Linked DNA regions of Drosophila melanogaster. The protein of the gene in region 1 purifies or fractionates together with the protein of each later gene. This does not show direct contact. Each region holds a gene or a part of one and is shown on either strand. Other genes may lie near its edges. The genes, in order: Vps16B and Vps33B.

Region 1 (4,335 bases):
CTTGCGTTTTTACTATTTTTCACTTTCACTAATGAGAAATGAGGAGTGTGGAGTTGGGAGTTGGGAGTGAGAAAGGTACGTACGCAGGTGTCGCGTGAAATCGCTCGTCACCCATTTTCTCCCATTCTAGCCTAATCGGCTTAGGCCAAATCCACCATAACGATTTGTGTGGGCTTATGTTCGGTGTTTACTTTTACTCCATTTCGACTAGCCCCCATCCCCATCCCCCATTCGCACTGGCTGGAGATCAGTGATATCTGCCGATCTCGAATAGCCCACTTTATTGGCGGGGACAGCGCTTTCGACGTGGATATGCCAGTATGCCAGACCAGAGCCAGAATGGCCCATCAAACGGTGTTTGATTTCCAAATTTATGGGTCAAGCCAATGCAAATCAGTTGGCCGAGTCCGTTCGCCGAGAAAACGGGTCGTGCTTTGATAACAAATTGGGCAAACAATAGATGAGTGGAGGCCAGATTTGGCCATTAATGCTATTCAAATGATATACATTTGTGAAAAGCGAGGAGAATCGGACCGAAGAAAGCCCTAGTTATTGAAAGATGATTCATGGCAGATTGCTAGGTAAGTGGCCCCTTGGAGCACCTACTTGGTAGTTAAGTATTCCCTAATTTAATCCATTTGGTCCATTCTTTCCTCGCATTTCAACTATTTTGAACTTTAATTAGTCCGGCTCTTAATAACTGACGGCACGAACGGAGCTTAGTTACATATATTGTATATTCTGTCTGTCGGCGAAGCTGAAACAGTTGCGAGATAAACGAAACCTCTTCCTAATTACAAAGTAATGGGCACTTATTGAAATGCTTTTTCTCATTATTTTTCACGTTCTTCCGTACTTAAGGTGCGATCCAAAGACCGCACATTCCTACTTTAAAGCGATTCTTTCTCCGTTTAACTGCGAATGATGTACAAGTTATGGTGGAAATTGCTTCTCCTCCAGGCTTCTGGGTGTCTATCTCTGGAGAGTCGCCCAGATCCACGCATAGTCGGTGGCTTCCCAGCCGATATCGCCAACATTCCGTACATAGTGTCCATCCAACTGTACGGCATCCACCATTGTGGCGGCTCCATAATAAATAACCACACCATCCTAACGGCTGGCCATTGTCTGAACGGAGTGCCACATCGCCTGCTGAAAGTTAAGGTCGGCGGAACGTCGCGCTACCGAAAAGATGGGGAACTGTTCTCGGTCGCTGACCTGCAAGTCCACGAGAATTTCAATCCCAAGACCATGGACTATGACATCGGTATCATCAGGTTGACCAAAAACCTAACACTATCTAGAAAGGTTTGAAATACTCTCAGCTAAAATGAGTTAGTTCAGCAATTTGCTCTGTAGGTAAAGGCCATTCCCATAAACCCAGAGAGAGTAGCCGAAGGCACCTATGCCACCATTGCCGGCTGGGGATTTAAGTCCATGAATGGTCCTCCCTCGGACAGTCTGAGATATGCCCGAGTGCCGATCGTGAATCAGACCGCCTGCAGGAACCTACTGGGCAAAACTGTGACGGATCGGATGCTCTGTGCAGGCTACCTCAAGGGCGGCACGGATGCCTGCCAGATGGACTCCGGTGGACCCTTGTCGGTGAGGGAGCAGCTGGTGGGCATCGTGTCGTGGGGAGTGGGGTGCGCCCTGGCGGACAAGCCGGGAGTCTACTCCCGCCTCGATGCACTGCATCCCTGGCTAGACCAGGTCTTGAATAAGTCAAAGTAATGCAACATACTTGATTCGGGCAGTTTCACTATTTTAGCAGTTGGCACCCATGAAAGACGCATAAAAACGTGCACGTAAATGCTTTCTCGCTTAAAGTGAAAAAATCTACGCGGATTTAATCGTACAAAATAATAAAAACTTTAAGGTTCATTAAAAGCCAACTATTTGTGAATAAAAGAAAGCGAAAAGAGTTTATGATGAAACTTGATGTTCTGCTGAATTAGCCGTTGCTAGTTTATTGCACAAATCAAATGCGTTCCCGTTTCTAGCCAATTTGGAAAGAAGTTCTAAATTCTAAATTGCTTAATTTTCTGTGTCAATCGTTTGATTCAACGAAGATTATAAACAATTAACAGCTTTTTCATAACGGATTTCACTGAAACTATTTTTAAATATTTGAATAGCCGAAAATAGTGCGACCATGTCTGTGCATTAAACGGTAAATTCATTAGCGCAGCCACACTGGTCGTCACAAAATAGAACCTTACATTTAATAACGAATAATAACAATGGACCTGCAATTGGACAGCGAAAGCTATTGGAACCGATCCTCTCGCGCAGCGTTCAGCTTCGACGACGAAGACGAGGTGGACCTCGCCCCGGATCTGGTCAGCAATGGCATCCTCGCCGACGACACCATTTCGGAGGCCAGCTTCAATAACAGTGTCGCCCTGAATCTCTCGATCAAATCCATTCTGAGCGAGGAGGCATTGAAACTGGTGCTGCAGGAACAGGCGCTGGACGACAGGGTCCTGCCCAAGGGTGTCTCGCCGGAGGAGGAGCTGAAGCTGCTGCGCCGACAGCTTCAGAGCACCCTGTACAGCCCCAATCTAGAAGCCACTGCACAGAAGCTGCTGCAAGGAAAGACTGCGCCCTTGGAGATGTTCAAGTCGCTGCATGAGAAGCAGCAGCTGCTGGACACCCTGATGGCACAAGGTGGTGGGCATGCCGTCATTACAGTGTTGCTCTTCCTCAAGAGAACTCTGAATACCACGCAGTTTCATGGCATTCTGAGGGAGAGACCCAAGGCCTTGGAGCAGTATCTGAGTTACCTGAAGGAAAGTGGCGACCTGGCGGGCCATATTGAGCTACTGCAGCTATTTGGACGCCACCAGGAGGCGGCTCTTAAGCAGTTTCAGGCAGCGCTCGCTTCCGGAGATACGAGCACCAGGAAGAAACACCTCCAGCTTTTGGTGGATGCCTATGCCACAGCGGGAGTGGGTGTAATACCTCTCTACGAGCAGGTTTTTCACGCTGCCCTCAAGATGCAGCAGCTAATGGAGAAGGATAGCGCGCTCGGCAAGCTGCTTCGGGATCAACCCACTCCAGTGGAAGTGCTCTATGCTTGCTGCCAGGTGAACAGCAATTGGAAAGAGCAGGATATGCTCAAACCAGTGTCACCTCAGCGTTTTGCCGCCGACCAGCAAATATCGCCGGCCCAGTACGAGTGGACGGCGCTCAATGAAAGGGCGCAGGCACAGGCTTATGCGGATCTGGAGTGCATATTTGAGCGGGTGCCCAGTTGGCATCCGCTGAAGACCAAACAGTTTCACATCAGCTTCGATCTGACGCTGGCCGTGCTCCGGCTGTACGAGCTGCAGGCTCCCTCGACCGTCCTTCAGCTATTCCTCTCCAAGATGGGCAACAGCGTTGAGAAACTGGCGCTAGCCCAGCGGGTGAAGTGCATCAAGGCGGTCATAGATGCCATGGCCGGGTTGAAGCAGCAGCAGGAGCTACAGCAGCTCAAGGACACCCTGCCCGAGCGATCCGAGGAGCAGTTCTACTGCGAGAATGCGCTGAAAAGCCTCCAGAGCAAGCGATGGACTACGGACAACATCAAGCTCAAGTTGTAAAATTGACTTTCTTTTACTTGTATAAACGTATTTTATTGTTAATCATTTATATGTGTATATAATTATATTACTACTACTCTGGTTTTATTAAATAATTGCAAATCACAAGCTGAATATCGAATAAAAAACAAAAATTTGTATCATTTGTATGTTTCATGTGTATATCCTGCAGCCTCCGTTGATCTGTTCGATGAGCAGTTTTGGATTACTTTCCTTCGGTCTCAGATTTTTGTGTAGTTTATTGAGTAAACAAATAAAAGCAGGCGTGGCCAATGGCAAACAAAGCGTTACAAAAATTGGATTCTTTAAACAATTTGTTTGTCTTAAATATTTCGTTTAAATAACAGCGCTGTAAAAAGCATTTGATGTATAAATAACCGCAAACAACAATTATGGTATATATATATAGTTACGCGTAAAAATGTAAGGGAAGATGGGTTCTAGGAGTTGGGAGTCCGGGAGTCTGTGAGTCTGGGGTTGTGTGTGCTGGGGGCAGTCCTCGGTTCTAGGTCAGAACTCATAACGAAACATATTAAACAAGACAGACGGGCCCTCAACTGATGCGTGTTGAACGAAATTTCAGAGGATCCAGGATCTGAACCGGAAACGAAGCTCCAGGGCCCAGCCACTGCTAATTGGCAGCATCGCAGTCCGAGTAGCTGAGCAGGCGCTGGCACAGGATCGTCTTGAACTTGACCGTAAAGCTATCGAATATGACATCGGTGTCCTGCAGCTGCTCGAGCTCCTG
Region 2 (4,768 bases), 4.3 Mb from region 1:
CATACTGTTGCAAAACCTGTTCTAAGCTAAACTACTTAAAAACCTTTTAAAACTTGTAGGCAATTAGCAAAAGTTGAACAGTCTGGGCAAAAATTAAACTTTTAAATAAATCGAAAGGCCAATAAATTATAAAACCCATGGCAAAAACTTATTTTTAATGGGAGAGAGGGAAATACAAACAAATAAAGCATAATTGGGAGGGGCAACAAGAACAACAACAATAAGAAACGGGCATTAGAAAGATGAGCACGAAGAAGAAGATGCGATTAGAAGGCACGGGAGCGCAAAGAATAGAAAAATTAAAAGTAATCTAAACAGCAACCTGTGCAGCGTGCCCGAGCGAGACAGCTGCTCAAACCGGTATCGCAACAACAATTGAACCGCAAAGAAAACGCGAAGAAGACACACACACGGACTATAAGAAAATAATGTTAGCCACTAAAACAAAAACAGAACGAAGCGAAAACACAAAGATAATGATTGACAAAGGCAACAATGTACAACTGCAAGCAGGACAGAGTGAGAAGGAGAGAGCGGTAAAAAAGAGACGAATCTGCGGCACAAAAGAGAAGACGAGAACATGCAACAAGCTGCAATTGCCCAAAATAACAACAACAAACCAGACCGCACGGCTATTTTTGTCATTAGATTAAATATTTCACATATTTTTGCACAGTTTCACCCACATGCGCCAAACCCAAATTATTTATAAACAATGTAAGTGCAAGCTCACCTGATAACTGCAAAATAGGCGCCTGTAACTTTTGATAATATGGAAAATCTCAATTTAAATTTGTTGTTGGCTGTTGCTTTGCTTGTTGTTGCTGCCGCTGCTGTTGTTGTTGTTGTTGAATTTCACGCGAAAGCAGGCAAGACAACAACATAAAATCACAAACACTTGCACGCACATACGTCACACACACCCGCACACACACTTGGACAGCTGAGACATAAACACACGGAGAGCAAATCGCAGCGAGAATGGGAGAGAGAAAGAGACAGAGAGCGATAACAAATTTGTTTTCTGGTTTTTCTTCACGATTTTATTACACGCTTTTCGAATGGCTAACCATATTTTGATTCACATTTAATTCGCTCCAATCACAGTGTGTTCCGTGCGCTTGCTAATTTTCGATTTTCCACCGCAGAACTCCGCCCGTTTTGCTGCTGTTTTGGCAATCGTCTCTCTCCTGGCTAAAAACATATGATTTCGGTTGACGGAATCACGATAAAAACACATAAATGCGAACAGGGCGCGCGCAACAACTTCCCACGACAAACTCTCGCTTCGGAATTTGGAACGAAACTGCCACTTTTGCAGCGAATCGCGCTTAAATACCCGTCTAAAGATGGGAACGCATGGCGAACCGGTTCGATAGTTCGTGAGCGAACAGCCTTCGCACAGTGGTATGCAATCAAACTGAGCAGTAGATTAAGTACTTTTGTTTAACAAACCGGATAGCTCGAACTTTGAAAATAAGTTTTGGATCGGCAGGAATTAAGACTGTGCACAATTAATGCTTTTAATGGTGACTCAACACTTTGTGACGTCAGTAGTAGCATAAGTTCAAAATAATTAATTTGAGTATAGCTTTTGTTTAATGTATTGTATAGAATAACTAGTAATACTGCTTTTTTGACTGCGATAAACATTTACGTAATAAAAACTGCATATATTTGCTTTGTGACAACCCTATTTTATTTTGCGTGCGTCACCTTACATTTTGCTACCTTGCTGCATCAGCTGTTTGTGTTGTGCGGCGAAGAATGGATTTGACGCTGGACAAAAAGCTGCAGGGATTCCAGTTGGTGGCACAAGAAAAGGTATAATAATGAATCGGAAGAGTGAAACTATTAACTACCTGCAATTCGACTGCAGCTTTGTTCCATACTATGTAGCATACCTGGAAAGAAGGAGTTAATTTTGGAGCCCGACTTGATAAAGCCACTGGAACATGTTGTCACTGCCTCCTGGCTGAAGTAGGTGTTTAATCCATATTTTATGGATATTTACGTCTTATATATACCCCTTAACAGGTTGAAGGGCATACAACGGATCTACAAACATGATGCGGCACAATCTTTGCCCCGATCCGCCGATCAGGTGCACATCTACATGATCCGCAGTGTTTTGGGTACATTTCAGACACTTCTCAAGCAATTGCAACCCGTGGCCTCAGAGGAAATGCCCGACATCTCCATGAAAATGTATCACATAGTCTGTGTGCCCAGTTGTTACTCCTATTTTCAAACCCTGCTGGAACAGGCTGGTTTGTACGGACTGGTGCAACTTCATCACTTTAACTGGGACTTCATCTATTTTGATCAGGGAGTTCTCAGCTTGGAGCTGCCCAATGTGAGTAGATGTACATTGAACATTCAGAAAAGAGTCTTTTATACTGGATATTCTTATTATTCAGCTTTACGAGTGTCTCTACCTGCAGAAGAACACATCTCCATTGCCTGCGGTGGCCCAGAGCCTGCGATTGCTTCAGATGATTTGCGGACAACCGTCTTTGATTCTGAGCTTTGGCCACCACTCGTCGCAGCTAATGCAAATGGCGAAGACTCTTGGCAAACTTCCGGCGCCCACAAATCCTCCAGACTATGGCGGCTGGCTGGTCATCGATCGGGATAAGGATTACCCCGCCAGCTTGCTCACTCCGGCCATCTATGCAGGTCTTCTCTTGGAAGTTTTCGAGCATAGTTCTGGCGAGATTCTGGTAGACAATTCCAAGAACAAGATCCGCAGCCAGCGTGTGGAGTTACTCCAGGGAAAGAAATCCAAGATAGGCGTAAACTCAGCCAGCAAGCCGTGTTCCATTCGTCTTAACTCCACATCCGATGAGATCTACGGCGATAATCGGTACAAACGATTTGCTCAGGTCAGCAGTTTGATTCACGCACAAGTAAAAGCCCTGGGCTTGGAACTGCAGAAACTCAATGACATGCAGCTGGACGAGATGCATGACTATGTGGCCAGGAAGCTACCCAAACTAACCGAGCTTAAGAGCAAAGTCCTTAGGCATCTGAATGCCAGCGAGATTGTGATCCAAATGATGGGTAACTTCAGGAAGCTCCAAACGCTGGAGGAGGACATACTAAACAATGATTCAAGAAAGCGATTGCTAAGCGAGATCGACGAGCTGTTGACCACAGATGGTCAGAGATTTAATACACTGCGACTGCTGTGCCTCTTGCATCATTGCGTTGGCGTGGCGCCCGAGGAGCTGCAGATATTTGCGCGGAACTACTGCAATCTGTTTGGACACCAGGAATTGGGCGTGTTCCAGCAGTTGTCGCAGGCGGGCTTGTTGCCACCACTTGTGGTGGAGAAAAAGGCGCCAACGAAACTGCTCTCAAATCTACCTCTGCCCAAGTTCCAGCAAACGGAGTTTCAGGCCAATGCTAATCGGCTAAAGCTGTTGACCTCCAGTGGAGATGGTCAGGATGGAGGTTCCTCCTCCAAGAGCCAATCCAGTGGCTTGCAGACCTGTCCCAGTTTTGTGTTCAATGGCACCTACATACCATTGGTGGCTCAGCTCTGCTCCATTTTGCTGAAAATCAATAGTGCTGAGGAGTTGTCCTCGAAGCTGGGCATGATTGAGGGGCTGCATCTACACCTGGACAGCGGAAAAATCACGCCCAAGGCCTATGCCAGCCAAGTGAAGCTAAACGGAGTTGCAGATCAGGATATGTTCCCCTTGCGTCTCAGGAATCTCTTTGTATTCATTGTGGGTGGTGCCAGTTATGCGGAAATCGCCGCCTGCGATTTTGTGGCAAAGCTAACAGGCGCCCAAATAACCGTGGCATCCGACTCTCTAATGGCGGGCAGTGATTTGATCGCCACCGCCTTCAACCGCTGACCATGAAGTAACTAAGAATCTGTGTATCAAATGTTTTATATATTTTTATACAAAACAATGATGACAAAGCTTGTGATTAACAATTTTCGAAATTTACAATTTAAACAATGCTCTTTTCGAATAAATATTACCTAAAAGTGGCATTTGCTATTTATCACCACTGGCTCTGGTCATTCCAGGCACTCGGTAGAGCAGCTCTCCATCGTCATCGTAATAGGCATCCTCCACCCGGTAAGTGGCTCCTTGGCGATGCAGTTTCCGGGGAATAACAATGCGTGTTTTCACCTGGGTTATTTCATACTTGCGCTGATCCGCGGCACTGATCACAATCTCGCTGCTCGCAAACTTGGGCACGAAACTGGGCAGGAATCCGGTGCCACTGGGATTCTCGATGGGCCGCTTCATTTCCTCTGGAACTGCGGGCGCAGACTCAACGAGCTGCAATTCCTTAAGCTCCTGCAGCCGCATCTTCTTTTTATTACGGATTTTGTCCAACAAATAGGTTTCATCTTCGGCAGCAGAGGGTGGAGCTTCATAGCCGGATGGGATTTGTGGTGTAGGCATCTCCTCTGTTGTTTTACTACTGCTGCCCAGCAGTTTGCGGAATTCGTTGCCTTGCGGAGTCGGTAGTTGTGATTTTGTGGGCCAATCCTGGATTTTAAGCTCCCGCAGATCCTGCCACCTTCGCTCGGCGAATTTCTGCAGATGCTGGAGAAGAGACGGTGGGATACTGAAGTCACCCTTTCCCGTCCCTAAAAGCTGCCAGTTTTTAATGACGGTTTCATCGTGGGAGCGTATCCTTTGCACACTTCTCGGTCGCCACTTGGCCCGCAGAATTTTCTGCACAATGTCCGGAGTGGCGGGAAAACTTTCGGCCAATCGCTCAACGCTCCATTCCTCGG

Evidence for each region.
Region 2: the proteins of Vps16B (region 1) and Vps33B purify together in Drosophila melanogaster (affinity purification with western blotting, with the first as the bait; one study listed by BioGRID). This does not show direct contact.

The regions. Positions count from the first base shown.
Region 1 is NT_033777.3:29,814,315-29,818,649, reverse strand, and holds Vps16B (vacuolar protein sorting 16B), read left to right. Parts: upstream 1-2,198; 5' UTR 2,199-2,243; coding exon 2,244-3,587; 3' UTR 3,588-3,729; downstream 3,730-4,335. Other genes in the region: CG7829 (uncharacterized protein), read left to right, coding at 922-1,308, 1,360-1,734; ca (claret), read right to left, coding at 4,219-4,335.
Region 2 is NT_033777.3:25,471,749-25,476,516, forward strand, and holds Vps33B (vacuolar protein sorting 33B), read left to right. Parts: upstream 1-1,741; 5' UTR 1,742-1,767; coding exon 1,768-1,824; intron 1,825-1,879; coding exon 1,880-1,980; intron 1,981-2,037; coding exon 2,038-2,356; intron 2,357-2,420; coding exon 2,421-3,866; 3' UTR 3,867-4,008; downstream 4,009-4,768. Other genes in the region: CG4553 (uncharacterized protein), read right to left, coding at 4,014-4,768.